4 linked regions of the Oreochromis niloticus genome follow. The protein of the gene in region 4 purifies or fractionates together with the protein of the main gene of each other region. This does not show direct contact. Links are inferred from orthologs where the notes say so. Each region holds a gene or a part of one and is shown on either strand. Other genes may lie near its edges.

The links.
Region 1: the proteins of sf3b1 (region 4) and ncbp1 purify together in Homo sapiens (co-immunoprecipitation; 3 studies listed by BioGRID and IntAct, with this or other methods). This does not show direct contact. The link is inferred for Oreochromis niloticus from reciprocal best matches to the Homo sapiens genes SF3B1 and NCBP1.
Region 2: the proteins of sf3b1 (region 4) and ybx1 purify together in Homo sapiens (co-immunoprecipitation; 3 studies listed by BioGRID and IntAct, with this or other methods). This does not show direct contact. The link is inferred for Oreochromis niloticus from reciprocal best matches to the Homo sapiens genes SF3B1 and YBX1.
Region 3: the proteins of sf3b1 (region 4) and srrm1 purify together in Homo sapiens (co-immunoprecipitation; 3 studies listed by BioGRID and IntAct, with this or other methods). This does not show direct contact. The link is inferred for Oreochromis niloticus from reciprocal best matches to the Homo sapiens genes SF3B1 and SRRM1.

The regions. Positions count from the first base shown.
Region 1 is NC_031966.2:10,221,322-10,229,194, forward strand, and holds the start of ncbp1 (nuclear cap-binding protein subunit 1), read right to left. Parts: upstream 3,005-7,873; 5' UTR 2,855-3,004; coding exon 2,821-2,854; intron 947-2,820; coding exon 858-946; intron 652-857; coding exon 551-651; intron 455-550; coding exon 298-454; intron 200-297; coding exon 92-199; intron 1-91. Other genes in the region: tstd2 (thiosulfate sulfurtransferase/rhodanese-like domain-containing protein 2), read left to right, coding at 3,185-3,316, 4,391-4,686, 4,823-4,931, 5,058-5,177, 6,675-6,780, 7,013-7,128, 7,515-7,673, 7,870-7,873. UniProt on the Homo sapiens protein: Component of the cap-binding complex (CBC), which binds cotranscriptionally to the 5'-cap of pre-mRNAs and is involved in various processes such as pre-mRNA splicing, translation regulation, nonsense-mediated mRNA decay, RNA-mediated gene silencing (RNAi) by microRNAs (miRNAs) and mRNA export.
Region 2 is NC_031984.2:24,180,254-24,187,877, forward strand, and holds the start of ybx1 (Y-box-binding protein 1), read right to left. Parts: upstream 3,007-7,624; 5' UTR 2,839-3,006; coding exon 2,730-2,838; intron 924-2,729; coding exon 860-923; intron 593-859; coding exon 559-592; intron 459-558; coding exon 369-458; intron 268-368; coding exon 1-267. Other genes in the region: ppih (peptidyl-prolyl cis-trans isomerase H), read right to left, coding at 6,591-6,659, 6,927-6,967, 7,055-7,142, 7,239-7,331, 7,606-7,624. UniProt on the Homo sapiens protein: DNA- and RNA-binding protein involved in various processes, such as translational repression, RNA stabilization, mRNA splicing, DNA repair and transcription regulation.
Region 3 is NC_031983.2:27,507,869-27,515,613, forward strand, and holds the start of srrm1 (serine/arginine repetitive matrix protein 1), read right to left. Parts: upstream 3,019-7,745; 5' UTR 2,888-3,018; coding exon 2,867-2,887; intron 1,954-2,866; coding exon 1,864-1,953; intron 1-1,863. Other genes in the region: tdh2 (L-threonine dehydrogenase 2), read right to left, coding at 6,036-6,181, 6,268-6,537, 6,620-6,710, 6,789-6,961, 7,054-7,203, 7,288-7,358, 7,443-7,485. UniProt on the Homo sapiens protein: Part of pre- and post-splicing multiprotein mRNP complexes. As a component of the minor spliceosome, involved in the splicing of U12-type introns in pre-mRNAs. Involved in numerous pre-mRNA processing events.
Region 4 is NC_031987.2:32,303,559-32,310,699, reverse strand, and holds the start of sf3b1 (splicing factor 3B subunit 1), read left to right. Parts: upstream 1-4,125; 5' UTR 4,126-4,185; coding exon 4,186-4,213; intron 4,214-5,620; coding exon 5,621-5,793; intron 5,794-6,004; coding exon 6,005-6,106; intron 6,107-6,230; coding exon 6,231-6,345; intron 6,346-6,670; exon of another isoform or gene 6,671-7,141. Other genes in the region: coq10b (coenzyme Q-binding protein COQ10 homolog B, mitochondrial), read right to left, coding at 1,832-1,929. UniProt on the Homo sapiens protein: Component of the 17S U2 SnRNP complex of the spliceosome, a large ribonucleoprotein complex that removes introns from transcribed pre-mRNAs.

The sequences.
Region 1 (7,873 bases), on a different chromosome or scaffold from region 4:
TAAAGTCTGACACAAATGTGAACATTACAAATTATTTAAATTGCTTTTGGGTACCATACAGCTTGCTTTACACCATAAACCGTCTGCCTACCTGTGGCACATCTTCCTCCTGAGTAACACTGACAAAGTTTTCAAACATGGCCACCATAGAGGGAGCAGCAATCACGTGGCAGTTGACCAAATCAGACAGAAAACGCACCTAAAGAAAGAGATGTCATTATGAAAAATAAATGCCAAAGTGGCCATGTTAATTAGTTTAAAAGCAATCTGTAAGATTATTATACAAAGCCAGCATACCAAGTAAACAGCTTCACTGTACAAGTTGTTTTTTAACGTCTCCTTCAACTGCCTGATCATGGCCTCAACGAACTCGCCCCCAAAGTTGTAGTTCCTGGCGTTAAGGAGGCCGACTAAGGTCGTATACACGGTCAGCTTCTCGGGCAGGAGGCGGGCACTGTCAACAAATGACAACATATGACGACTGCAGACACACAAAACACACTTGCAAAATTTATTAGAAATCAAAGGGTGAGAAGAGGTGTGAACGTACACAGTACATAAAATGCGCAGAATTTTGCTTTTGTAGTTTGGGAGGTCTGCCTCTAAGACGCCGGCCAGGCCCTCCAGGTTGCTCTCGAGGGACGATGTGCTCTGTAAGGAAATATTTTCGCACAAGAGCAATTTGTCACTAGAAGGCAATTTAACACAAAGCAAAGAAGACATATAAAGAACATTCTGGCATTTACTTTTAGAAGCAAAGTTTTGCACTGAACTTGTGAGGCTCAACTCTCTAGAGCGGAAAATGAAGCTACTCATCCTGAAAATAAAAATGTGTCCTTCCTGTAGTGTCTCCTTACCTTTTCCCCAACACGACATATCAGTGATTCCAGACGGTCTTCGATCTCAATCGGCTCCGATGTTCTCCTCCTCTTATGGGCTTGACCTCCTGGAAAGGTGAAAGAGTAACACAATAATCAGAGCCAGAAGAGGCTCAACCAGCTCCTGTAGGAAATATCTGTCAGTTTCTCTTAGCTAGTGCACTCTTAAAAAGAGATTTTTAATCTCAATGAGTCTTCTCAAAGTTAGGATGATAAATTCTCTGCTGTGTTCATCAGTTACACTGCCATTTCATGTTCAGTGGTTTTCAGACAGCACAGGACTATGAATTAAACAATGAACTGATAAAAATAAAGCTTTGTGAAGTTCAGAAAAGCACACTTACACTGTCATTTAAAGAATAAGAGCATTAACAAAACATCAATCCAGCAATTGAATTGAACATTTAAAGCGGACCAAATTATTTTTACATTATTTTTTTCTTTATTTTCTGTTATTTATATAAAGGTTTATTAACACTGTTAATATATTAAAAGTAAGGATGTAGTCTCGAGTGGTTGTTCGTTATGTCTTATCAAACCAAACAGCACTGTATCAACAGCGTTCTCTTTCTGGGATTAATAAGTTATTTTCCTGGTGTCGCATGCAGACTGCCACATCTAACAGCAGTTCTATACTTGCACTATAAATGCACGGCATAGGTACTTCATACTAGCAAACTCCTTTGAAATCTGATGACTTAACCTGACATGCTTCTTCCTGGAAAAGAAACTACACATCACACTACACAAGTCATTAAAGGGCTTCAGCCCTAAATATATATCTGAGTTGTTTTATAGATACAAACCCAATAATTCTCTAAGGTCTGCAAGATCTGGTCACCTAATAGTGCTTGAATCTGAAACAAAACTGAGTAATAAAGCACTTAGCTGCTATGCTTTTAACCAGGGGTGTCAAACATGAGGGCCAGGGGCCAGAATCGGCCCAAGAAAGGCCCCCATGGGCAGCTTTCAAAAGTGTCAAGGAGGGTATTAATTCTGGCTTCTTGATTGTATTTTCATAACTTTTATAGGTTTTTATACAGATAAAGAACTCCATGGCCACTGATCCTATGCCAAATTAATTAAGCAACAGGTGAACAATTAAATGACAGATATGTTTCCGTTCACTGTAGAAATGTATAATTTTTAAAAGACAGACAAAAAAGACAGGTTTTATAATTCAAACTGTATGTGCCACTGTATGCAGCTGTATGTGAGCCATGACACAAAATTTTGACATCTCTGCTTTTTACTACCATCATTGCTATTATTGTTGTTGCTATGAATATTACTACTATTACTGCATTTTTCCCTTCTTTTCTTTTCTGTTTTAATCTTAATCTTGTAAAGCATCTCGAATGACTGTAGTGTTTGAAAAGTGCTATATCAACAAACTTGCTTTGCCCATGTACATATGCAAAGTTACCGTAGTCCCAGATTAAGAGACGAGATCTGATTTAATCTTTAAGCAGACCAGGTCCCATTTAAATTCAGGATCTTGCGCTCTACGGGAAAACATTTGATATTTTTAGGTGATTTTCCCCGCCCATAAATCCAGATCCATAGTTAAACTTTCAATCAGATGTTAACACTAAATGTCGTGCATGTTTTGCAGTGTTTGGTTACCGCCCCCATAGTCACTGGCTACCCTGGTTAACGCCAGCTAATCCTGCAGCTAACTGCACCGGTTCATTTTGCGGCTGCATGCGACAGTTTGAGCACTTTTCTCGCTTTCAGTGCGCCACAATGTGACTGAATACCTGCGGTCATCAATGGTTTTGCACTTTTTGGATGTCGTTGATAAAACCCAAACATCAAACTAGTAAAATAACCCTCCCAACACTGCGCAGGGGACGCATGAAAAGCTCGCTAACGCCAGCTAGCCACCGCTGGTTAGCCTAACGGTGTGAATAATACACGCCGTTAACGTGCACCGACTCACCGTCGTTCTCATCGCTGTGCCGCCTCCTGGACATGTTTCACCCCGCTTCGATGTGAATGTAACAAAGCCAAAATATGTGTTGAACGAGAAACAAAACAATGAGTCCGTTAAACGAGTTTATCTATGGATCATTCAGCAACCAGCCGCTCAGAGAAAAATAAAAGCGGTCTGATTCAAGTGAAGCACATCCGGCTAACCCGGAAAGTGCACCCGTCTTTGGTGTCCGGAGTCTTGTGCTGAATTTTCTGGTGCACGTTTGGAGGATTTGTTTGTTTGTTTCCTTAAAATAATATGTGAGACTTTGTGTTTAATTCTGGTGAGACGGGTTAGTCGCTAATTATTTTAAAAGCTCTGTAAAAACACAATGGCGGCGGAAGATACACCCTGCTCAGAGTTTATAAACTGGGAGGTTGACTCTTCAGTTTGTAATGGATTCAAACACGAGAAGCAACTTTCTGCCCCACAAAGGAGATACTACAGCTTCTGCAGGAGAAAGGTGAGCATCAGGACACACTGACTGGAATCCCTGTTTTATGGTTCAATTGTTGGACATATATAACGATTATTGTGAAATTTCCAGATATTTCGCACATTGAAATCTGAGGCAATGTTTGAACATTAATATCTCAAAATCTAAGAAAGATAAAAGCCTCAAATTGTCACTGGCCTCTCTTAGCATCAAAATGAATCTGATCTGTAATCTGTATTTTATAGTTAAAATCTGAAAATACATACAAATTTGAGCACACTCATAACACTCACTGCAACTTCAAATTGCAAAAGACAATTGGTGACAGTTTACAAATTTATGAACAACAATATTAGAAAACGTTATGATCAGTTTTACATTCTGTAATTTTGTATTTGTAATCAGTGGTTTCTCAGCTGTGTGCTGGGAGTGTAGCAGAAAAAAAGTAGTTCTTCTTCTTAAAAAATATTGTTGTTGTTGTTGTTGTATAACTTAATAACTTAGGCTAAGGAAGGCTGATGCTAATATAAAATGTTAGGGACAGATTTAAAAATTCAGATGTCAATATGTCAACTCTTATTCTTAAATTTTTATTACAAACAGTTGTGCAGTGGTCACAGTCTTTACAGAAGGTTCTGGGGTTTAAACCTGCTGGTCTTTTTGTGTAGAGTTTGCATTCCCCCCCTGCATAGGTTTCCTTCTGGTACTTTGATATCCTCCCATGTCCTGTTTTACAGTCTGTAGTGGACTGACAGGTGGGGTGTGCCCCACCTACCTTCCAGTGTCAGCTGGGATAGGCTTCATCTCTCCCAACAAACCTAAGTTGGATAATATAATAATAACACAATAGTAATATATTGTTAAGAAGGAAGGGTCATTATTTACCAACTTTCGAGTCGTTTATTTTAGAAACTGATACAGTTTCTAAACTACTCTGGACAAATTTCAATATTATCACATATTGGGCAACATATGCACCAAACTGTGGAATACGATCACACAGCCACTGTCTTATATATAAGTCTTCTATAAAATCTTAAACATCTGTTTGACCATGTTAAAGATTTATCTCTTTATTTGTTTTTTATGTTATCCCCTCAGTCATTTGCTGCCTTTGTGGCATCCAAGAAGGACGGTAGTCACGAGGAAGGAAGCCCTTTGTGGTGCTGCTGCGGCCAGACGTTCATCGAGCACGCCGCCATTCACAAACACGTGGCCAGAGTGCACAATGCTGAAATACAGCAGCTCACACAGGACGAGTATGAGCGTTTGTTGAGCCAACTGGAAGAAGAGCCCGAAGCAGCGCAGGTGCAGTTGAATGAGCACAGTGGAGAAACGGTGGACGTCTCTGTGTGGATTCCCGATATCAGCCACATCTCTGAGGAGCAACTTAAAAAGTAAAGACAATCTGAATTCAGTTATTTCACTATATTCTATATTTCTAATCTATATATGTAGATTATTAATGTGTCCCATTTTAATTTTTGAATTTGATGTTTTATTTTTGTTCGTTGTTCTCTCGTTCTCTATCAGCGGTCCAGGCAGGGTTCTGCTTTACTATCACTACTGTCGCGTCGAGGAGCCACATGTCATCTGTGCTTGGCAGAAAGCTCTGTGTGAGAAACTCCACTTAACAGGCAAGGTGAATGAATTCTCCTATCTTGCCTCGGGCTGAGGAACACTTCTATGAAAGAGCAAAGAAAAAAGGCTTTTCTCTTAATTTCAGTGAAACTGTGCCATTAAAATGTATGTTGATCTTTTTCTTCAGGTGAGGGTGGCGACTGAAGGCATCAACGGAACAGTTGGTGGCACCAACTTGGCCACTGACATTTACATGGAAGCAATGCGTTCACATCCACTGTTTGAGATGGATAAGGAGGATTTTAAGGTCAGATTCAGATAAAGGGAAATTTTATATACCAGTGTCACCTCCCCCTCTTAATATTGCTTCATAGAATAGAATAGAATAGAATTCAACTTTATTGTCATTGCACATGTCACAGGTACAGGGCAACGAAATGCAGTTTGCATCCATCCAGAAGTGCTTTAGCCGTGATATAGATATATTACAATATATATTAGCAATAATAGAGATGTGTAAGTATATTACAGAAATGGGTCTATTATGGTATGTTATAATGTACACGGTATGAAGTATGTTATGAATATTCTATAACTATAAGTATGTACAGGCTGTAGTGAGTACAAGCTATGTACAGGCTATGAACAGGATATAAATATGAAAAACTATACAGAATATGAAATAAAAACTATACAGAAATATGAGATATACAGTTATACAGAAATGTGAACTATGCAAGTTATGAACAGTTGTAGGATTAAAAATTATCGTATGTACAGAATGATTATTTACACAGAACTATACAGGAGTGCAGTTAAGATAAGTGAGATATGTGGATAATTTCTACAGAGGCTATATAAAGTGCTAGTGGTTGTGAGTGGTGGTTCAGTCCATGTTATTATTGTGTGTTTGAGGGTACAGTTGTCCATTGTGTGTGTGTGTGTAGGTGGTTGTGGGTGTGTGTATGTTCAGTCCATGAGTTTAACGTGGGTCAGATGTCAGGAGGCAGAGTTCAGGAGTCTGACAGCTGTGGGGAAGAAGCTGTTCCGGTACCTGGTGGTCTTAGTCCGGAGGCTCCTGTAGCGCCTCCCAGAGGGCAGGAGGGTGAAGAGTCCATGTGATGGGTGACTGGGGTCTCTGATGATTTTCCCAGCCCTTTTCAGACACCGCTTCCTGTAGATGTCCTTTATGGCAGGAAGTGGTGCTCCGGCGATGCGCTGGGCAGTTTTCACGACCCTCTGCAACGCCTTCCGGTCCGATGCAGAGCAGTTCCCGTACCAGACTGTTATACAGTTGGTCAGGATGCTCTCGATGGTGCAGCGATAGAAGTTCACCAGGATGTCTGAGGACAGGTGGTTCTTCCTCAGAGTCCTCAAGAAGAAGAGGCGCTGGTGAGCCTTCTTGACCAGCTTGGAGCAGTTGGTCGTCCAGATGAGATCCTCGGAGATGTGGACTCCCAGGAACTTGAAGCTGCTCACACGCTCCACAGCCGTCCCCTTAATGTGGATGGGTGGATGTGGGTCATAGGATCATAGTTATAGGCTCCATCAGGGTGTGGTTTGTCCATAATCAGACTTTAAATGGCCTGTATTTGTATAGCGCTTTCCTAGTTCTTAAGGACCCCAAAGCGCTTTACACATCCAGTCATCCACCCATTCACGCACACATTCGCACACTGGTGATGGCAAACTACGTTGTAGCCACAGCCACCCTGGGGCGCACTGACAGAGGCTTTAAGCAGTTATTAATTTATTTTTGTTAATCTTTGAACATTAATGGTGCTGTTTTTGTGGGTTTGTTCAGACCAGTGACGGTGGCGCAGAGTGTTTTACAGAGTTGAAGGTTGGGGTCTACAAGGAGATTGTACCAATGGGAGTGGACCCTGATGTTATATCTTACCAGCTGGCAGGTACTATTTGTACTATTTGTAATGATACTATAAGCCTATAGAAATTATTAATAATGTAAGTTACACCTGTAGCTGATTTACTAACATCATTGCCTTTATTATCATAATAAGGTGCGAAATGTCTGCTTTGATTGCTACTCTGCAGCCATAGCTGTGCTCTTGTACCAGCTGCTGAGAAACTCTATGCTGTGCTTGTATATAATGTCAGGTATGTGTCTGTTTTGCCTCTCAGGAGTTCATCTGGAGCCCGAAGAGTTTCATAAAGAAGTGGAAGCTCTTCTGACTAAAGGAGATTCATGCAATGACACCATCCTCCTGGACTGCCGCAACTATTATGAGAGTAAAATTGTGAGTAGAAAATTCATTTTCTTTAGGAGATTGTTGACTTCATTCAAAAGTAATCTGATTAGCTTGGTGGTTTCAGGGTAATGTATGATCTTGGCTTTATCACATGACATGCCCAGAGATTTATGGTGTAATTTCAAGTTTTTTGTGCACCATCTACACAAGCTACCATGAGCAAATATGAAGGATGGGCAGAACACTGATATTTGTAGCTGGAAATAATGAGTCTGTATCCAAACAGAAAAGCATGACTGGGATCAATTTCATAAGCCTCAGTATTTTAGCCAGAAGCAGTGGTATTGAGATTGTGCTATTATAGAGTAATGTGCAAAGGCTGTTACAGTTAATAATTGCTAATAATTGCTTTTTTTTTTTTTTTTTGCCTTCAGGGGCAGTTCACTCAGTGCCTGGCGCCTAATATCCGTAAGTTCAGCTACTTCCCAGACTACGTGGACCAGAACCTTGAGCTGTTCAGAGACAAGAAGGTTCTGATGTACTGCACAGGAGGGATCCGCTGTGAGCGTGGCTCCGCCTACCTCCGCTTCAAAGTAAGCTGTTCAGTCATCAGTCTGGAAAGCTTTTAGTGGAGCTGGGTTCACTCGCTCACTTGTTGCAGGTTGCTGATTCTCCACAAGGGGGAGCCTTTTACTAGTAGTTTAGGTATTGAGAAATGCATATTTTTGAAAGGTTTGCATCTAATATGTTAAGTTCTTGTTCATATTTATCTCTTAAATCTGGTACCAGGATG
Region 2 (7,624 bases), on a different chromosome or scaffold from region 4:
GTAGCGCCGTCTGCCAGGGTAAGTGGGTCTGCGCTGCTGTTGCTGCGAGTCTCCTTCAGGGGCGTTCTCTCCACCCTCTCTGCTTTTGTCACGTCCTCCGCTGCCTTGTTCGCCCTCTCCATCACTCTGGTAGTTCTCTGGATATTCTCCTCCACGGGGAGGGCCCCTCCTTCGGGGGTACCGCCTATAGCGGTTCCTGTCAGCAGCATACTTGCTTCCCTGGACTGCAACACCTCCTGGGCCGGTGACATTTGCAGCCTCTGCTCCCTGTGTCCACAGTAATATTTATTTATTTATAACTAGAGAACATTCATTCTTTAGAAGCTGCCAGACTACAAAACCGAATTACTAACCAAAGAACAGCTTACCTTCTCTCCCTCGACTACATCAAACTCCACAGTTTCTCCATCTCCAACACTGCGAAGATATTTTCTCGGGTTGTTCTTTTTGATGGCTGTCTGAAATCACAATGTTTCATGTTTGAAATGTTTCTAATCACCATAATCATCAGATTTTTTGTTAAATTATGAAAAAGAAATACAATATTGCAAAGCTTACCTGGTGTACAAAAACGTCCTCTTTTGTATCATTCCTATGAATATTAAAAAAAAGTAGAACACCATTAGAAGTATCCTACTGAGCCACAAAAAGCAGTGATACCTCTGCAGACTACAACAAAGCGAATGAGTGTAAGGATTAATAGATGCATGCAACCAGTTTGGAGACAAGTAGATAATTCATCTGGGCAGCTTTGTAAGCAAATCATAGCCATAATAGGATTGGGAATGTTCTTTCTCACACACACACACACACAGCTGTTATGAGGGTCTTTGGAAAGAAGGGATAGGCGAAGTCTTACCTGTTGATAAACCCATATCCATTCCTGACGTTGAACCATTTGACTGTACCCAAGACTTTTGTTGCTTTAAAAAAAATAAAAAATGAACATGTATTAATGATCATTTTAGATACATGTCTGTATTTAATAATTCTTCTAATAATGACAAAGTGTAAAATAAGAACAGACCATGAGAAAGTGACACGTTTGATGTGGAAGTTAAATATAACTCCCAACTGTCATTCCTATTATAGATCCCGGCGCTTAGGAGTGTCTTGTGCCAGCTGCATTTGGTGTGAGGTATGAACCGTCACGAACACCATGCACGAGTACCACGAATGAGTACCGACTAGATTACTTCTCGTGTGAATTTCAAGACTTCATTACCCCTATTTATAACGTCCCTTTCTACTGTGATGCCATCCAAATCAAAGATTTCAACATCATCATAGCAGGCCGCTGTAGCTAAACACATTGACTTAACTACAGCAGACCTAGTGCCCCATTTTAGACGCACTACTGAGCGTTCACACGTGGTAATCGCGCCCGGATATGTTAGCAAGCTCAGCTGGCTTGTTAGCATAGCTATGTAGCTGAGAAGGTCTGAACCATGTGCTTGGATTACTGCCAGCAAGCGGAAATGAACATAACACATCGGACAGCTTCTATTGTGACCAAATGCTTAGCACGTAAAAAAAAAAAAAAATTAGAAAAAATGCCACGGTTATACTGGTTTCAATTAACAACCAACGAAATGGCGAAAGAAATCAGTGGAATACACGGCGGACATTTTGGATGGCCTCTTTAGCCATGTAAATAGCTCAAGTTAGCTGGCTAAGCTAACATAGCTTCGCAAACAAGCCAGCAACCGTCGGTCGATTGCTAGGCCCTAACGAGACCTCATCAATTCCACCGAAAATAGTCGACCGCTGACAGTTGTGCTCTGGTGAATTTCCGATCAAATCCAAATATAATTCGCTGCTAATTGTAACAGTTAAAAGTCTGAACATAGTTTCGAGTGTTATAGATTTTTTTTTTTTAATATTTCACCAGGGAGCAAGACTCGTGCGAACAAAGGACGGCAAGTCGCTAACGCTAGCTTGATTTCGACATAATTTGTAACCGGTAAAGCCAGTGGATATTTCGGTGTTCCACAAATACGGCATTAAAGTTAACTTTATTACTTTAATACATGATTTCCCATTAACTGTCTGCCTAAAATCAGCACCGACGTTGGCGTATATACACAGGATCCGATAACGGCCAGAAACCACTTCAGCGACCATTTACGTGACGGCCACCCGGTACCACGGCATTCTATGGCGTACGTTTGACGCGAGGAGGCCGATGAACAGGAAAGATTGAAAGTCTAAAATACCTCATTAATACCTTTTTAATACTCATGTCGTCTAAAATTATTTAATATGAAGGCCAAAGTGTTAGCTATTAAAGCAGCGATGTATAAAAACTATATATATAAAAAAAAAAGCTTGCACTGTCTGGCTTCCAACCGATAGTTTAATTCTGTATCGCTAGCACGTAAACGTTTAGCGTTTTTCAGACATCAAAAGAAGATTAGTTTAACTTTTCCTAGAAAGCTTCTCGTTAGAAAACGCCAACACACTGAATAGAACATAGCCCATGAAATAATTCAATTTTAGCCAAAACTATACTGGGTCCCGTTGGCTAAAATAAAAATTTCCCTACCATTACTTAACATGTGCTAACGTTGTGCGGCTCAACGGCCGTTTCTAACGAATGTATTTTAGTTTAAGGTAGACTGAGCTGTGGATCGAGTTAACAACATTAGCAGCACCACTTTTGCGCATTGCCTCTGTGCCGTAAAACACGTTAGCTATCTAGTTAGCTTAACTAGCTCCAGCAGTCTTACCGATGACCTTCTTATCCCCCGCGGAAGCTGCGGCTGCCGGGCTGGATGGGCTCTCCGCATCGGCAGCAGGCTGCGGCGGTTGTTGCTGTGTCTCGGCCTCGCTGCTCATTGTTACTTGTTGGTAATGGCTTCAGCCGGCGGCGGCTCTTTGCTATATTTCCCGGTGCTAGATGGTAACCTGGGCCGGCGGTGGTGGGGGCTACTGCCTTCGGGCTCTCTGCTTTCCTCTTTCCGCTCCCGTTGCCGATCTAACTGGGCAGAATGAGATGAGGTGCCGTGGAATGTTCCTACTCGGAGGTCCGCCCAACTGCCATTCTAATTGGTTGGAAAGTGTAACAGGAAACACTCGCGTTCCAATTAGCCAGAGTAACTGTCAATTTCGCTTCAGAAACGCGTTGGGTAAAATGATTGGGTAAAGGAAACCGTACCTGTCCATTCTCACCACCCCTTTATGATGTCAGAGCCAGACGAATCAGACTGCATAACCGTGACAGTTTTGGAACAGTGTCTACTTACTAAAATCTTGTTCTGCTGACGGATTTGGACCTAATATGCATATAGTTTAAAATATAATTGTAGTTATCATTATGCAATATATAAAATTGCAAATAGTGTGATTATCGTGTAATCGCATGCTTCAAATTCGGAGCAAAGTCAGCAGTTTAAGAGATCTAGAAACACAAAAACACGGGCCCATTAAGAAAGACAATGCCTGAATGTTTAAAGTATTTTCAGTTTCATTTTGTACGCTGGTTAAATGAAAAATCGATATACTGTGTGTGTGTGTGTGTGTGTGTGTGTGTGTGTGTGTGCGCACCAATGATGGGAATAACGGCGTTATAAGTAACAGCGTTACTTTTTTCATTAACAAGTAATCTAACTAATTACTATTTCTATCTTTACAACGCCGTACCCGTTACTAACATGAAAATGCGGTGCGGTCGCGTTACTATTTTTCAACAAACAGACGGCTGAAGCTGTGTTCATCTTACCGCACCTTATATCAGTTGCATGGAAGTAGCTGTCTACATAAGTAGTCTGGGCGCTACAGCTTTAAGTAGCTGCGGGCGCTCCCGCGGACGGCAATCACTTTCTGGCAGACGATCACTTTTTGGCACAACACCTGGAGCTAAGGGGGGCCAAACAATCCCATGAGTGCTGCAGTTTGACTGAGAAAGAATATAGTAGTCGTAGTAAGACTTGGAAAGCTCTGCACAAGAATTCCAATGTACATGGACTGTTGGTCCTGTGTGCAAATGGCAAAATAAAAAATCTTGAATCCTGAATCACATGACCACTTCAAGATGACAAAGCAAAGAGGTGATATATACCAGTTTTTAAATTGTGCTGATAGGCCACGTAACACAAGAGTCATGACAAACAACATATACGTGGTGTTTTTTCCTGAATACTATGGTCACGTTTACCCTCTAAGGGCAGCGCTAGCAAGCACTATCTGCTTATGACCAAAAAAGAAAAAACAAAACAAAAAACACCCCTTTCGTGTTGTGGAAAAATGTACAATGTCGACCAATCAAAAAATGATATAGAAACATGGCATTTGGTTGTTTAGGAAGAGGGAGGAAGTTTTAGGAGTGACGGAGAGAAAGAGAGCGGAAAAATGAGAGAGCAAGTTTTAAGAAGTGAGAGATTTGTGACGTTTGGAGTGTGTAATTAGTGTGTTTTCTTGTGTAGTTAGTGTGTAGTGTAGTGGATAGTTTTGTGTTGTGTGTCAGAACAATGAGGCGACTGCTGAATGTTACAGGTGCTGCCAAAAAGCCACCAAATGGAGATTACAGTGTAAGCCACAGGTGTCAAACTCCAGGCCTGGAGGGCCGGTGTCCTGCAGGTTTTAGATGTGTCCTTGATCCAACACAGCTGATTTAAATGGCTAAATTACCTCCTCAAGTGTCTTCCAGTTCTCCAGAGGCCTGGTAATAGACTAATCATTTGATTCAGGTGTGCTGACCATGGGTGTTATCTAAAACCTGCAGGACACCGGCCCTCAAGGCCTGGTGTTCAAAACCCCTATTACATACACACACATATGCAATATTAGTTTTAAGACTCAAATAAGGGGGAGAACAACATGAATCTTAATGATAATTATTACACCTAAGCATATTTAAAAAGAAGAATAATCATTTAACATTTCTGGAAATCTTAATGACCTTAGTTACACCATAACTATCTTTGACTGTCGAAAATTACATCACAGTTTAAATAAGGTGTTTCTGTACATTATATATTAACCACTAACCAAATTTTAGCAGAAATATTAAAAAAGCAGCAGCACGGTGGCACGGTGGTTAGCACTGTTGCCGCACAGCAAGAAGGTCCTGAGTTCAATTCCACCATCAGGCCGGGGTCTTTCTGTGTGGAGTTTGCATGTTCTCCCCGTGTTTGCGTGGGTTCTCTCCGGGTACTCCGGCTTCCTCCCACCATCCAAAGACATGCAGCTTGTGGGGATAGGTTAATTGGATAATCCAAATTGTCACTAGGTGTGAATGTGCGAGTGAATGTGAGTGCGAATGGTTGTCTGTCCCTGTGTGTTAGCCCTGCGACAGACTGGCGACCTGTCCAGGGTGTACCCCGCCTCTCGCCCTATGACAGCTGGGATAGGCTCCAGCGCCCCCCGCGACCCTGAAAAGGATAAGCGGAAGCGAATGGTTGGATGGATGGATATTGAAAAAGCAAGTATAAAGTAATTTTCTGTTTTAACTGGTTAAATCCAGTCATAATTCTGTGTGACTTTAGAAACTCCATTTCCAGTAGTACAGAGCAGACAGGGCCAGTCTGAGTGTGGGACAACTCCACCACAACGCCCCCTCCCCTCCCCTCCATTGTCATGTTAATGCTCCACTGGCACTGTTTACGAGCACTGACCGATGTGTGAAGAGCTTGCTGTTAATGTCTGAGCACCGTTCTCCCACACACAAAGATGGGCTTTAGCAATGACCCCAGAAAGCTTCCCCACAGAGATCCCCCCCTTCAAAAAATGGGGGAAAAAAGCCTCCTTCCTGTCTCCATAAGAACAGCGTCTCCATCTGAAAAGCTTCTTTTATGCCAAGGGAACGATGTCCAAGGCTGAGGAGGGAGAGCATGGATGGGGGAGGGGGTCTGTGGAGGCTTAGATTTGTATAGATGGCTGAGATAGAAGAGGTAGCCATAAGTTCAGCACTGGAGTGAGCGCCATGGAAGATGTGTTTCACTGTAAAGTGGTTCTCTCATTTCCTTCATAACTTCGAGGTTAAGATCAATTTTTAATCAAAGGCACTATAAGGAAACAGAGCTAGTAACACTTACCAAAGCAGCTCATATTACTCTGGGTACACAATGTTCTTTCCAAGTTTAGACACTGCCACAGTTTCTCAAACACACATTAAGTTGATAAGAAGTTAATCATTAGGTAAATCTGATTATTAATGATGTGAATTATTGATTAGAATGACTATTTATAGTTGGCTTTCACTACTTTCTAGATTATATCCGATCATCAGTATTGCAACAGAGCTGCCTTTTGACACTTAATGAAATCCTTTTGAAAATTTTTATATTAAAAAAAATCTGCAACATTTATAAAAATGTACAGCAATTTATTGATTGGAAATAATACAAAGTGTGACAACCATGTAATTCTTTCTTCAATTTAAAAAAAATGTACACAAACAGTCTTAATTTGGACTTAATTTGAATTTAAAACAAATGAAGTCTGAAACCAAATAAATACATCAATGTCCACTATGGGACATTGCAGGAATCAGTGTGTTGATGTTTTCTGAAGAGTAACAAGTCACAATTAAGACATTAAATGTATACAGAGGCTGTGTAATGTTGACATGGTGTTTAGCACGTGTCGGCTCACATCTCTCCACACTGTGCAATGATGATGGGGAGTTTAGGCTTGTTGTTGGGCCCTGTTGAGACATTCTGTTGGAAGAAAGCGACACACATTTAGAACAAAAATGCTGTAATCTAAGCACTACATCCAACTATGGTGATTTATATGGACTACAAGTTAGAGGTTTAATTATTTGTTACATAAACATTAAAAGATTATCAAATTGTATGTGTCATTATTAGGCTGGATAATTGATTTTAAAAAGTTCTTGAAACTTTAAACATACCAGAGGTAAAGTGATGAGTGTTTACAAAAAAATATGGCAAGATAGATTTATAGGGAAGGTAAGTTCTTACCTCAATTTTTCTCATGACCAGCAAGCCATCGACCAGTTTTCCTGTAATAATTACAAGTAAGTCAATTTAACTCTGACACAGACAATAGAGTTAAAAAAAAAAAAATGCAATACTGTTGATTTACTCACCAAACACCACATGTTTTCCATCTAGCCAGTCACATTTAGTGCAGGTAATGAAAAACTGACAACCATTTGTTCCTGGACCACTGTTTGCCTGTAATATGATACATTATTAAAACAGACACATTTTGGTTAGGGTGATTTACCTGAAGTGTATCCGTGGAGATTTAGGATTTATCAAAACACTTACCATTGAAAGAAGACCGGCAGCAGAATGCTTTATTCTGAAGTTTTCATCTGCAAATGGACCCCTATAGATGCTGCAGATACCTGTTCCATCACCCTGCACAAAAGATTAGTAGTACGCACAGTAAGTAGGGGCTCATAAAGAAAGCAGTATATTATAAAACTTTAAATGTGTTGTAATATGCTGCATAACCACCAGAGGGGGCAAGACTATAAATGTGCTCAGTTAAAGTCAATAGTTACCAAGGCAAGATTTAATCAACAAATTCTCAAATTCATAAAGTGTTTGTGGAAATTTTCCAGACAATGTCAAAAGACAATCACTAAACTATGGATTATTGTGCTGTCAATCCAATCTTCCATGTACTTACATTTACAAAGTCTCCTCCC
Region 3 (7,745 bases), on a different chromosome or scaffold from region 4:
AAACAGTTAGGGAAGAGAAGCAGCACCATTTGCAGTGTACAGTAAGTTTCAGTTTATAAGCACCTGAACAGATACAGGATCTCTTTCATACCATTTGTTTTCTTCTCTCATCTTAACAGTTTATTTCAACCCTGCGCTGCCCGATCACACTGTTTTATACACAGCTGCTTTAATTCCATCTGATATTTGCGATTCTGTTTTGTCGCCACATTTAGTAAGTCGTTTTTAACCATTTTATTTTGCTTTGCTATAAATATATTATTATGCAACATGGCTTTTCCTGGCTCAGAATGGGCACAAAATGCAATCAGAGCACAAAGCGACTGTGTTATTTGACAAAAACCTGTCCATTTCACTCTGATGTCTGACGACTAAATAGATTACACACAAATCCCACAATACAAAACACAGTGATTCATCTATGGCAAGGATTTAAATACATTTAAAAAAAAGCTTTACCATCCTTATAAGATCTGACTTACATGGTAAAAATAAACAGCTGAGTAATTGTATTTAAAAATGACAAAAGGTCAATTTTAAAACCTTCTTTGTCAAATAAAAGATCTAAAATTCTCTCACCAGGGATGGCTTTGGGGTGAAAAATGTAGTAAAAAGCTCTGCTTTATATTTCTGTATAAATTTATATTTTACTGTATTTATTTTAATTTAACATAAGATATTAGTTTTGCAATATTACATTTACTTTATGAGATGTCTCATTCTACTCTATAAAGCTGTCCCGTTTTATGTTTGTTGTATTTGACTTAACTTTTAGCTGCTGTATCAAAGAAGTTTCCCTTTTGGGATCCAGTTTAATTTTTATCTCGTTGCACCTTAAAATTGTTTTTATCTGACTGTGACGCTGTATGTTAAGGGACGTCAATCTAAGCTACACAAGGGTCGCCACAACAGGTAGCTCTTCATGTCTGATTTGGCATGATGCAACCCCAGAGGGATTTGTATTTCCTCCGGAGAACAAACCCGGGATCTTTTGCTTGTTAAGACAAATGTGTAAACCAGTGCACCATAGGAACACTTAGTGGTCATCGATTCAAAAAAATACAAAACTTATACATGCCAGAATTTATCAAAAAAGCTCATTTTCATTTCAAGCCCCTGGGCAGGTCACATGAACCTGACGTGATATACAAATAAAAATAGACAGAAGACAAATACAAACAACGCTTAACATTAATTTATCAACTGATAACACATTTGGCTGTTTTAAGATCTGCTTTGAAAACATCATGTGTCAAGTTTTCATTATAAGTGATAACCTGTTCCAATAATCACTTCTATTCAACTATGGTGCGCTCTAGATGGCGTCCTACCCTCAACCCCACTGTCACTTCTTTGTGTCCTTTTAAGACGTTACAGTGACAAAAAAGAAGGACTTTTTAAATCAAAAACTTTTGTGGCTTTCCTTAAATGTTACTCAACTATAATAATTGTTGTCCCACCTGTTAATGACCAGGCAGTCCCCTGCAAAGGTTCAAAAATGACATTTGGGTGGAGACTAAAAATATAAACAGGTTATATATAATTAAACCAAAGTTATAGTAATGCCTAATTAACAGAAAAATGAACATTTACCTTTAATTTTTGGCTACTGGATAAAAACAAAAAACAAAACCTGACTTAAGCTCATTAATCACAGGCCTGGTGAGGTGGTGACCACTAAAATGTCTCTCACAGACACCCTCATACCTGTGGTGTATGAATGTCCAGGCTCATGTTGATACAAGTTTGTAGATAACTATTTAACATGATTTTTGAAGATTAAAATATTCTGATTTTACTAATCACTAACAGTTATTTGGAAAAAAAATGTCAAAACAAATGTCACTGCGGGTAATCATTTACCTTTTTGTCCAAACATTCTGCAAATTTCAGCTGCTTCAGCAGTTTCTTCTGCTTGTTGCTGAAGCGGTTGTCCTGCTCCGCACTCGTACCCTGCAGAAATAACAGCCAACATCAGCGGACTCGTGATGATCAGCTTTCACTGGACATGTAAAATCAGAGGAGGACAGAAACCCGTCTCGAACAGTGTTTATAGTCTCAGGCTGCACAGCCTCCTCACTATTGGGCCCATGTTAGTTACAGCAGTTTTACTTACCGATAACATTATTAACGACAGTCAAAGTTTAGGATGGAAAAACATTACGTTGCTTACGCTAACGCGTCTTAAAATAAAGACTTAAGACACGTGTGTTCCCTAGAGCGCCGCTTCATGTTCTTTTTAGCTCCTCGACCTGAGCCGCAAACGACACTGACACCAGTCGGCTAGCATTAGCCATGCTAACCACTTGCTTAATCCTCGAAAGCGAACGCACAGGCTAATAATAGGCACAGCCCGAAGGCTACTTTGACTGACAGCGGAGCTGACATTGACAGAATATTAAAAGACACATTAATGTCATTATTCAGCAAACACGGAGGACTTGCTAAGGCCAGCACAGCAGCAGTCGTGACTAGCTCATGGAGACAGGAGCGATGCACCGCCCGGGCGCCATCTTTAGTTAGCTAGCTAACTTGACTCGTCTATTTCCTGTAAATGTGTCTGTAAAATAACACGTACGGGGTTTTAACTTAGGAAGCTACACATTTTCATAAACTATAGGACAGAAAACATCAATGTAGGGAACACGCAATAACTCCCAGAATACACTAGGCGAAGCAGACTGATTGCAAATCTTGAGACTGTTGGCTCCCAGTTGATAGACGAAGCCCTGACCGCTGTTTAGCTAGCTGCATGGCTCTTCACTAAAGACACATAGGAAACATCCATCCCATAAAACGTATATAGATCTACATAAAGCTAAATAATAATATACCAAATACAAAGATAAAAGTTTGAAGAACTTACGCGGAAGAATCCCGCGTCCATTTTAGGTGAAATGGTTCGTAACTGCTGCTGTGGAGAAAGCCGTGTGCTGCTCCGCCGGTGAAATTCAGGGTGACGAGCCGGATAAATGGAGTGCCCCCACAGGAAGCAACGGGTACTGCAGCTACAGTGAGGAGGAAGAAGATTCCGCTCATCACCTGATGCACGAAATATGGCAGTCGCTAGCTTAGCTTTTGTTATTCTTGAGATTCTGCTGCTGGCTTTAAATGTGCTTCAGGCCTTCAGTGCGCCACACGAACTTCCATTATTTAGCTCATTGCTCTGCTTTGACCACATAACTGCAGCTCCAACAAACGCTGGTAAAGGTAAACATGGGGAGATATTCATCTTCATGGAATTATTTATTTCAATGTACACTGAAATAAAAGATTTTGAGGTCACTTAGGAATGTCTCTGTTTAAATTAAAAAACAAACAAACAAACCCATCTATGTACTTTCTTCTTGCCGCTCCTAGGGGTCACCCCAGCCTCCGTTTGCCCTCACCTCACCCTATCCCAAGCATCCTCCTCTGTTGCAACATCCTTCTTCTCTGTGGTCTTCATCTTCTCCTCCTGCCTGACAGTTCCATCTTCAACATCCTTTGTCCAATATAGCTTCTATCCCTCCTCTGCACATGTCCAAACCATTCATTCATTCATTTTCATTCATTTATTTCATCTCACCTTCCTTGCTAACCTGTGTTGTTCCTCTCGTGTACTCAGTTTTACTCATACCTCTTCTCTGTTCTCACCACAGATCACAATGTCATCTGCAAAAATCACAGTCCATTTTGCATTAAGTGATTTTGGCAAAGCAGTCAGTGACTGGAATGTGCCTCAATATGCAGAGACAGCTTGCACAGATATGAATAAGACCCAAACCTTGGTTTAAACTGGTTTGCTCAAATGTTGTTGATTTTAAAAAGTATTTTGTTTTTATCCATTGTCCAGTTAGGAGCTTGTTGAACCTGAACCTCACCAACCGCCATTCACCAGTAAGAATAAATGCTCAGATAAACAAATGAGAAAAACAAAAAAAAAATTGTGATGTATAATAATGATGCAAAATTTTGCTTCTGAAGAGATTTCTTTGGGAAACCTTAATAATAAAATTAAAGAGCTTCCCATGAAGCTCCGGGGGGAGGGAGCCCCCGTCCCAATTCCAGCCAGAAAACAAATTCCACATTCATAACAAGAGATGGGGGCACTGAAAATCAAATTTGGACCATATTTGTCAAGAAATGAATCAGTTGGACGGAAGTCCAGACGCTTTTCTTTGCAAACTCCTTTGACTACGATGACCTGGATGACTGAGAATCTTCACAGACAAATCAGTTGGACATTATATTTGGAGCCCTGTTCTATAACCATTTCCTTTAGTTCTTTACAGAATAAATTCAACAGATTGCTGGAAACATTCTGCAGAAATTTTGGTAAATCCCCCCGACACCATTATACCTCCACCAGAAGCTGGAATTGTTAACAAATTCCCCACGTGTGGGACTAATAAAGGTTATCTTATCTTATCTTATCTTATTCCAGACAGGATGGATCCATGCTTACGTGTTGTTACTACAGTTCTGACTCTATCATCCAGATGCTGCTGCAGAAACAGAGCCTTATCAACCATGCAATGTTTTTCCGGTCTTATTTTGTCCAAATTTGCTGAGCTTGTGTGACTTGTAGCCTCAGTTTCCTGTTTTTAGCTCACCCAGTAGGACTCAGTGTCGTCTTCTGCTGTTATAGCCCATCTGCTACAAGCGTTGATGTGTTGTGTAGTCAGAGATGCTTGTCTGCAGACCTTGGTTATAACATGTTTTTTTTTATTTTGCCTTCCTGTTCGCTAGATTTTCACCAGAGCGGCCACTCACTTGGTATTTTCTCTTTTTTAAACCTCTGCAAATCTTACAAATGGCTGTGTTGGAAAATCTCAAAAGATCAGGAACTTAAATACTCAGACTAGCCAGTCTGAAAATAATAATTTAAGGTGTCTTAAATCATGTTTCTTCCCCAGTCAGATGCTTGGTTTGAACTTCAGCAGGTTATCTGGACTCTTTCTACATGCCTTAATTGGTGTGATTGGCTAGTTAGATATTTTGAACAGGTGTACCTAACAAAGTGGCTGGTGAATACCTTAATTTTGTATATGTTACTCGAATAAATTAGAGAATGAAAGCATAGATGAGAAAACTTTAACTATTTCTTAAATAAAAGTTAAATTTTTCATTTTATAGTGTTCTTGTTTTGATGCTGATCGGGTGTTTCGGATGTAAAAACGACACAGAAAAAAAGAAACTTTGGCAGCATACGATATTCAGTGCTCTTTGGGTAAATAATATTTTTATTGTTAAAGGTCTGATTCAAAGTACACAGCATTTTTTAATATATTGTTTTCCTAAGTAAATACGGCCTCATTTGATACTGTTACTCATTCATATTTGTAATCACACCGCTGGCAAAAAAGTAAAGGCTTCCTGTTCTGTGCCACGGCAAGGGTAGTGCGGTTGTATATACTGTGAGTTTCACTTGATAGTCTATATTATAAAAGAGTGCTTTACAAAACAGCCAGGATACATGATTTTTCATTACAGTCCAAAGTCAACTGAGCCAGTCATTCCAGATGATCCTGGATTCAAAATGTCCAACAGATTTGTTGTTCTACACGTGGAACTTGTCCATATTGTATTAGATATTGTAACAGACGCTGAAACACGCTGGTGTGCCCATGCATGTGATCAACATCTGAAACTCTTTAAAGCTTAAGAAATATTTCTGTTCCACCTGAGGCAACATGCCCATGTGTAAAGTGATGCTTATACCATGAGAACAATAAAAACCACAAAGATGAAGAGAAGGTTTGACAGTATCTGATTCCCTGAAAAGACTGAAGTGTGTGTGTCTGTGTGTGTGTGTGTGTGGGTGCACATGTGTTTGACATCTCACTTTCCACTGAATATAAAGAGGTTATGACTGAGAATTTCCATTTTACAATCAGTCCCTGGCACGGTGCAGCGATGCTCCAGACAAACAGATGATACTGGTTGACAATTTGTAAAAGTGAAGTAAAACAAAGTGTGCTGTTGGTAAATGTAGACTGAGGAAAAGTTAGTGGTAGGTAGGGCATTGGTTAGTCTTGATGCAGCAGGTTTTGCTAGCTGACTGGCAAACCCTCGTTGGTCCTCTTGTCTCGGATGGAGCGGAGCATGTCCGACACCAGCTCCTCAAGCCCGAAGGCTGGCGCCCAGCCCCAGTCTCTCCTGGCATTGGTGTCATCAAATCTCACAGGCCAGCTGTCTGCTGCAAAAAACAAACAAGGACAATTTAGTTTTATATTGGTTTATTATCAGTCAAACCAGTGATTTAAAAACAAAAAGATACCATACCAATGGTCTGGCGGACAGTGTCGGGATTGTAGGTGACCTTGAGGTGAGGGAGATGCTTGCGGATTTCTTGGGCCACCTCTTCAGGGGTGAAGCTCATGGCAGCTATGTTGTAGGTGCGCAGTGACAGCTGGCACTCTGGAGCCTGCATGAACTCTACCGTGGCACGGTGGCAGTCAGAGATATGCATCATGGGAAGACGGGTGTCGGGTCGCAGGTAGCACTCATGGTGACCCGTGCTGAGAGCATCATGGAAGATCTGAACTGCGTAGTCTGTGAAGACAGAAGTCCGGAGCACTTAGTCCATGACATCCAACGGATTGGAGTACATTTGCACAACACACACAGGTAATACCTGTAGTTCCACCACCAGGAGGCGTGTTAACTGATATCACTCCAGGGTAACGCAGGCAGCGGAAGTCCAAGCCATATTTATGATGGAGATACTAAAGAAAGAGAAGCTGATTGAAAATGAAATGGAGTCACAAGCGTCTCTGTAAGCACGCGTGCAAAAAACATTTTACCTCCCCCATCAGTTCACCATGCACTTTAGACACGCCGTAGATGGTTCGAGGTCTTTGAACACAGAGGTCAGGGGCCGGGTCACGTGGAGAAGAGGGACCAAATGCCCCAATAGTGCTGGGGACAAAGAGGCGCAAACAGTTCTCTAAGGCCAAGTCCAGCACATTATGTAGGCCTGGATGGGCAGAAAAGAAGAGAGCACGAGTTCAACCCTGATTGTTCCTTAAAACCTGGTTACGTGTAAAGCATGTGCATATTCAAGCAGACCTGTGATGTTGATCTTTCGTGCCAAAGCCACATTAGCCTCACCCACAGCACTAAGCAGAGCGCTGTAGTGGACCAGCCAAGTGATGCGGTTATTTACAATAAGTTCTCGGAGGTGTTTGTAGTCCAAAACATCAGCGTATACAAACGGGCCTATAAAACAACAGTGATGCCAGAAAAAAAATAAAGTAATTAACTTTTAAAGTAATACGCATACTTGAATGAGATTTTACATACCACTGGCGTAAACATGAGGTGGAGGCTTCTTGATGTCTGACAGGATTACATTGTCCCTTCCATACTGTTTTCTAGACATTAACAAAAATATGACGACATTTAAACTTCAAACCTTTTAGCAAGTTTCAAAATCTCAGGAATTTCTACAATCTCACCTCAGCATCTGTGCAAGTCCCACACCTAACTGCCCAAGCCCACCTGCAGACAAAGGCAGGCGTTAACTTTCTACCTGTGCACACAGATAATCTGTATTTGTGGAAGACTGGTAAATCGATAAAAGTCAAATCCATGTTGTTGGTTTTCACTTTCAGATGAATAAAGCTTTGTGTTTGTTTCAAAGCTTGATCCTAGGACAAAAAGTGACAGCAGGCTATTATTCTCCCCACAGTCACTCATTGGCCCTTTTATTTCACTAGCACTGTCTGTACACACTCTATTGTGATGAATCAAAATGGGCT
Region 4 (7,141 bases):
GAAATAAGAAGCATAAAGGCCTGTTTGTGGCACAGGTGTGCAACAAGACTGACTCACAACTGTCAGAAAAATATGCCAGCAATTATAAGCATTCAATGAGCTTAGAGGAATACAATTCCCACAGGTATGGCGTTTTGTAACCTGTTCCCAAATGAATCAGGTTTTCCATTTGTAACTCATCCCACACTCCATCAAGTTCCAATGTACCCACTGCCCCTAAACAGGAACCTATTCACTCCTGTTTTACTATCTGAAACATGATACATCTGACCTCTAAATGTATCCTGGGTACAGGCTGAGAATGGCCCAGAGCAAAAGGTGAATGAGACATCTCAAACTCCACAAAGGTGCAAAGCAGAATTAAACCCAAACAACAGACAGCTGGACAATGAGTTCATGGAAGTATACAAATACACTGAGAAACTAATTAAAGTAGCACACTTTGGATTTGTTTAACACGTCTTTAGGAAAATGTAGATAAAAGCATTATCTTGTTCAATTTTAAGGGAGCAGATAATGTGCTGTTGTTTAGGCTAAGGTAACAAGTAATGTTACCTTGTGATGAGTAAATATATAGGCCATACAGTAGCAGATGCTCATACTAAAAATGACCGAATTTTCAAATAATGAGGTCGGTGTATGTATAAGTACACTGTGTGACCGAAAACCTAAGGCTTCAAACTGCTCTAAACTTAGAATTTCAGATAGCCTCACTATGGTCATCTCAGGCACACAGCTCTGGCTGTGAGCACAGAAACCCCACCCACCCACTGTTCAATCAGAGGAAAGATGGCTTAAAGGAGGGGGGTGGGAGATAAAATGGCTGAGATATAGAGAATGGACTGGGGACTGGACTAAGACCAATATAAGAGATAACTAGCTGAAATAGAAAAAAGAACCTAGACTAATCATCTGAAACACTGTCTGCTTAGTGACAATAAGGAGTATTAAACATATCTGCATGGTTTATAATATACTCTAACGCAGTCAGCTTTTGAGGTTAAAGAGAGGCTGTTGTATAAACAGATAATGACTGACAAACAGTAAATTAATATTATATATGCATCACATGTGACACAATAATTGTTGAAAAGCTGCTACAGGTTCTGGTGATGGTTTCATTTACCACATGGAACTTAACGATTTTAGGAATATTTTCAGACTGTGCCTGCATGTCGTTTTTACTACACTGTTTTGCAAATCACAGATAATCGATGCTAATCGTTACGATCTTCTTCATCGTGGGGTTTAAGTATGTAAAGTTCAAGGTTTCCATGTCTTCACCTTGGCTGTGCTATCAGCAGTGTTGGAACGTAAAAGAAAAAAAACACTACGCAAACATAGTAATAATTAAAGAGCCTGGTTTATAATCAATACACAAATTATCGTGCATTTTTGTAGTTTACGCTAAGACTGCTGCTCTCCACAGGAGAATGCATATAGAGTAAAAGAAACTGAAATCAGCTTTACTTTTCTATGCGTGAAAGTGCGACAATTTAATGTTTCAGTGAATATAAATTATTGTGTAATGTGCTATGCGGCTTATCACAGCAACATCGTGACTGTAGTACATTTGCTATAAGTATTTCTACACAGGTAAACCAAATACTACTTTTACCCGACCCTCATTTTACTACTTTCTACCATCTACAGAGATGTAGTTAACGAATTCTTGAGTTAAACAGGGCCGTGAATCGTACACCGCCGCAGTGTTTAGCTACCCCGTACCAAAAGTGAGTAACTTTGGTACAAATGCTCGTTTTAGAGGTATGTCTTCATATTTTACGCCGTCTCGTTTCAGACAACAACTTGAAAAAGTCAAACACTTTACCTAACGTTGCTTCTGTTCTGGATATCCCGGTTGGCTGTGGACGGTAACTGTTTTATGCACTCAGCTACTTTTCTCAAGTTCCGACCGCATCTCGCCATCTTCTCTTCTTCTTTAACGGCTTTGTTCACTCCCTCGCTATCAACCAGTTGACAGGGAGCTCTACGCGCAGTTTGGCCCGACCCTCAACAGGCCTAACCCGCTTGCCATTGGACGATCTGTGGCCACCGAATGTTTTTATTGGGCGGTCCCGCCGTTCGTCACGCCAACGTATTCAGGTTCGTGTGCACGAGCTCGCACGCGCATAGAGTCACGAGTTGTTGGCTCGAGTTGCTCTATCGGCCGAGAAAACCGGGTGAAACCTGTTTGTCTTTGCATATCAAAACTATCAATAGGTCAACGTGTTGACCTGTAGACTACACTACACCTTCTTTGTTGTCATTTATTCCTGCTCTGTTGGGCAAATTTGTTAGAATACAGTTTCTACTATTTTTGAATAACAAAGTGAAAGAAATATTTAAAATTCTTTGCAGTAAGGAAGACATTGAAAGTGAAAGTGAACAGGTTTCTGTCTGTGTGCTTTTTTTTTTTTTTTACCTTTTTAAAAAGGAAAGGGGAGCTGTTTGCATATACATCAACTCAGGGGTAAATTATGAAAGTTTCTTTGCTTATCGTGATACATTATATTTGTTTTACTAACGTGTAAGGTACATTTATTATATATATGAATAAATATTGAATGAAATGATATATGCCTATAGGCACTGGTGTTCTTGTCCAAAATACATGTTATAACATACACTTTAGTAAAGCTCATGAAAGTTAAAAAAAAAAAAAGAAGTTTTTTGGGGGTTTAGGTTGAACACAGAAACACTGTCAATTGTATAAACATTTCTGCCCAGTCAGGGTTGTTTGTGGACACTTTGGCGGCATTATTATTATTCAAACTTTGACTTCTGTGTCAAGTACCTCACAGCTGGTGGTACAAGTTTTTCCTGCAACGACATGCATCTTCTGGCATCTTCCTGCTGAGTCACCAGGTAAAACTCAACTGTTTTAAATCTAATCAGTCACTTTCCCCACAGCTATATTCCTCATCCTTCTGTTATAAACACTCGTCACTCACATATCTAGTGTCATGTAGCTTTCTTTTCTAATAACCAAAATGCAAGGCTGGGTCCTGAAATTTCATTTTCTGTGAAAAGAAAAAAGCTTCACAATTAGCTCCACAAGTATTGTCTGTAGTAGATGGACTGCTCTATATAGCTTTTCTACTCTGCTGGAGCACTCAAACTCAAAGCGCTTTATACAGCATGTGTCATTCATACAAGCACTTTTTTCTGTGCTTTCCAACATTCACACAGAGTCATACTTCCATGCATCTGAGAGCAACTCTGTGTTCAGTATCTTGCCTAAGGATATTTGCCATGTAGCCAGGGATCTAACTACTAGCCTTTGTGGATGATCTGTTATACCTCGTGAGCTACAGCCACCCCTGCAGTGTTTCAGATATAGGTCCTCTAGCCAATAGGAGCACAAGAAAATCTAAGAAATAACAGCTGGGCATTTATGAGAAAGGGACATAAACTATAATAACAGGTGTTTTGTACAGACATTTGGGGAAGAAACTTTACCAACCATAGATCTCTTTCAAAGAAGCCAGTTTCACATGAAATAAAAGGTAAACACAGATATTAGTAATGCGAGAGGTTAAAAGCCTTGACTTGAAGTTAAGGTTGTGAACCAGGTGTTAGAAAAGCCTTATGTTTAGCTACTGCTGCATGCCAGAATAGCCCCTGTGAAAAACAAGTCTTCAAAACAACAAAACCTGTCTTATTATCCTTTTCACTTCTGTTTGTGGCATGCATAGTGAAATTACAGGCTTTTTGGTATACGTTTTTACAAAGCAGCCCAGTTACAGGCTTTAATGTACTCCAGGAGACAAAGAAGGAGCTGTGCAAGGAGATATTACTGATTTCTGTCAGGCGACATTCTCCATTTCAATTGATAAAAGTCTGTCATTAAAGATCAGAGTGCTGCTTCTAGCAGAAACATCTGGGAAATCTGAATAAAATAAGATGAGAAAGGTCAATTGGAGGGCTGCGTCAATTGAGATTTTTTAATGGGGTTTTAGGCTAGTGGACATTATACATCATACATGGACGGAAAGTCACATACTAATTGCTTCACTGTATCTACAACTTTTATAAGTATGTCAATACACTACGTCTAATACTAATCCTACTACTAGCAATATAACTACTGAGCGATTGAAAACTGGTCTGAGAACAGCTGGAAAGACACGGAACTCTGAATTAAGTCACATCCGGTTTCAGTCTCGAACAACCGCCACCAAAATGGCGAAGATCGCCAAAACGCACGAAGGTAAATTACTGCTAAAACTACCATAAATATGTTCTGTTTTACCACGTATTTTGCTTTATGGTGTCAGTAAATATTGCGGTAAATTTTCTGGTATTTCTGTTGACGGTAATGCTCCTGTTTATTTGCGAAATAGGCGATAAGCACCAGGCCTCATACGACGCAACGCGGAGCTTTAGATAATGGCGCTGGTGGTTACCGCTTAGCTTTCTTGTTAGCTGGAATGGACTATTTTTCTCAGCTTATTGCACACTTGCATGCAATAGTGGGCGCCATTTGGGCTTTTTGTCTTGGTCCGATACGCCTTTAAGCTAGTATAACTTGTTGTTGTTACTGTGTAATCCAAGGTGATGGTAATTCTTTAATGTCTCAGTGATTCTCGTGGCTAACCGAGTTAGCATTAGCAACCTCTAACAAGCGTTTACCATGCCTACAGCAATTGGTGTCCGGCAGCAGACTCTGATATTAGCTTCATAATCGATGTTTAGCAGGAATATTGAAGGAAATGACCGAGGGCGTTTTCTGTAGCAAGTATTGGAAATCGTTAACCCTTTTCTGTAAAATATTCTAATGCACTGTTTGGACATGACTTTGAGAGTTACGTGACCCAGTTTTTGTTTGTGAAAGCAGTAATTATGATGTAAGTAACGTTTATTTTTAAAGCGCTTTTCACAGGCGTGCATTCATAAAGCCCTGTACTGCAAAATAGAATAAAAATAAATACATAAGTTTAACGCAACCTCACAGTAAAGTAAATAAACTTTACAAACCTAATTGTAGTGCAGGACTGTTCCAGTGTCTTGGTACCACAGATCATGTTTACATCAAAAACTACAGTCACATACGGTGATATTAACAGGCAGAGTGTAAGGAAGTATTTGAGCTTGATTTAAGGCGTGAAAGCGCAAATAAAGGCCCGTTTGCTAGTCTTTGCCAATCAGTCCAATTCTCTGTGTGGGGTTAAAGCATTTTTTAACGTGTAAATCTCTTTGAGAGCATCGTTTGCAAGTACAATACCCCATCTGTTTTTTCTCCTTGCTAAGAAACGCTGAAGATCCTCCTGATTAAATGTACAAAAAATTCCATGATGAAGAGCTAAAGGCTTTTTTCTTCTTCTTTTTTCCTTTTATGAAGCATTCCTTTGTTTCCCTGTGCCAAGGGATGAACTAAATAGGGGGGGAAAAGGAAAAATATATGGGCATGTTATCAAATTTTACAGTACGCTCTATCACACTGGTTTTACACCCTTATCCAGCACAAACTGAAGTCATGCCTCAGATAAATTTCAGTAAATATAATATTTATAGATTAATCAATTCCATTCACCACTGCTGATACCGGGGTGTATGTCAGTCATCCATGCTTACCTATACAGGTGGTTTTTCACCATGTTTCCTTGTGTCCCTACAGATATCGAGGCCCAGATCCTAGAGATCCAGGGGATGAAGGCCTCCCTGCTGGAGGATGGAGAGCAGGGAGTGGGCCTGATCTCCACTGGCGTTTTTGACCCAGAGATCTATGAAGGCAGCGACAGTCGCTTTGCAGGATACGTCACTTCCATTGCTGCCAATGAGCAAGAGGAGGCAAGTATTTATTTATTTTTATTTTTTTTCCTTTTCCAAATCAAACACAGCTTCTTCCGAGAATGCTGTTTTGTGAGCCACAGGTTGTCCTTTGTCAGTTTTGTAAGGAGCTTGACTGCTCCCCTCTGCTTGTTTTGGGGATTTGAGCTAGGAGAACCTTGCCAGTTTGGCAAGATTTGAATAGACTCATTTATTCTCTTTCTTACCTCAGGATGATGAAGATGATACGTCAACAAGCTTGTTGGGACAAAAGAAGCCAGGGTACCACGCGCCGGTGGCAATACTTAATGCCATTCCTCAGTCAGATGAACAGGTATGTTCATTCACTGTTTGGGCTAAATTCCAGTTAAAACAGGGATCTAATTTTAATGAAAAAACAGGCTTGTACAAAATCCTATTTTACTAATCATCGCATGTTTTGTGCTTAATCTTTGCAGTACGACCCATTTGCAGAGCATCGTCCACAGAAGATTGCAGAGCGGGAGGATGAATACAAGGCTCGGCGCAGACAGATGATCATCTCTCCTGAGCGTCTCGACCCCTTTGCAGATGGTAAATTTTGCTCTTTTGTGACCTTTTTACATCTTCCCAAGTTCCTTGCCTCCTCCCCTTCTTTCTTTTTGTTTTCTTTGTTTTCTGTTTTTACACCAATAGTTTTTACTGTTCAACCCTTCGACCACAATGCAATAGCTTGCCTCCCAGACTCAATGCCTTCCCTGTGGTCAATCCTTTCCTCCATGTACATTTTGTGTCGCTGTTTTTCTCCCACTATTAATTTCCAACTGTTTCCAACAAATGTCAGTGTGGGCTCACAATTCATTTCCATAATTGCAGTTTGGGACAGTGTTGTTGGGATTTTAATTTGGTGCATGCATTAAAGGTAATATAGGGTTACCATGCTTTTCAGGGGGAGAGGTGGTTAGGTGTTTATTGCCTAACAAACATGGGTCGCAGATGGGTTGTGTGTGAGTCGAAGGGTTAACAACCCAATGTGATTTATGATGGGAAAGTGCAGTGTCCGCTTGTCACAGAAGTTGAGGATGAAGGTTAGCTCATTTAGCTGCCCATGTCCTGTGCTTTACCACACTGGGCACAGCTTTATAGGTGAATATAAAATATATAAGAGGAATATCATTAATATGCTCTGGTGGTAGTTGAACCAGAAGCATAATTTTAGTTCATAAATCTCTCAAGTTTCTCTGTTATCTGGATGCAGTAACATGACTTGTCAAAGTGCAAATTGTCTTGGGCTTCAGCGTAAAGCGCTGCCTTACAAGTAGGGCTGTCCCGAATATCATATTTTTGAGCTACAGCAGTTCAGAGTTGATCAAACTTTGTGTTTTTCAGA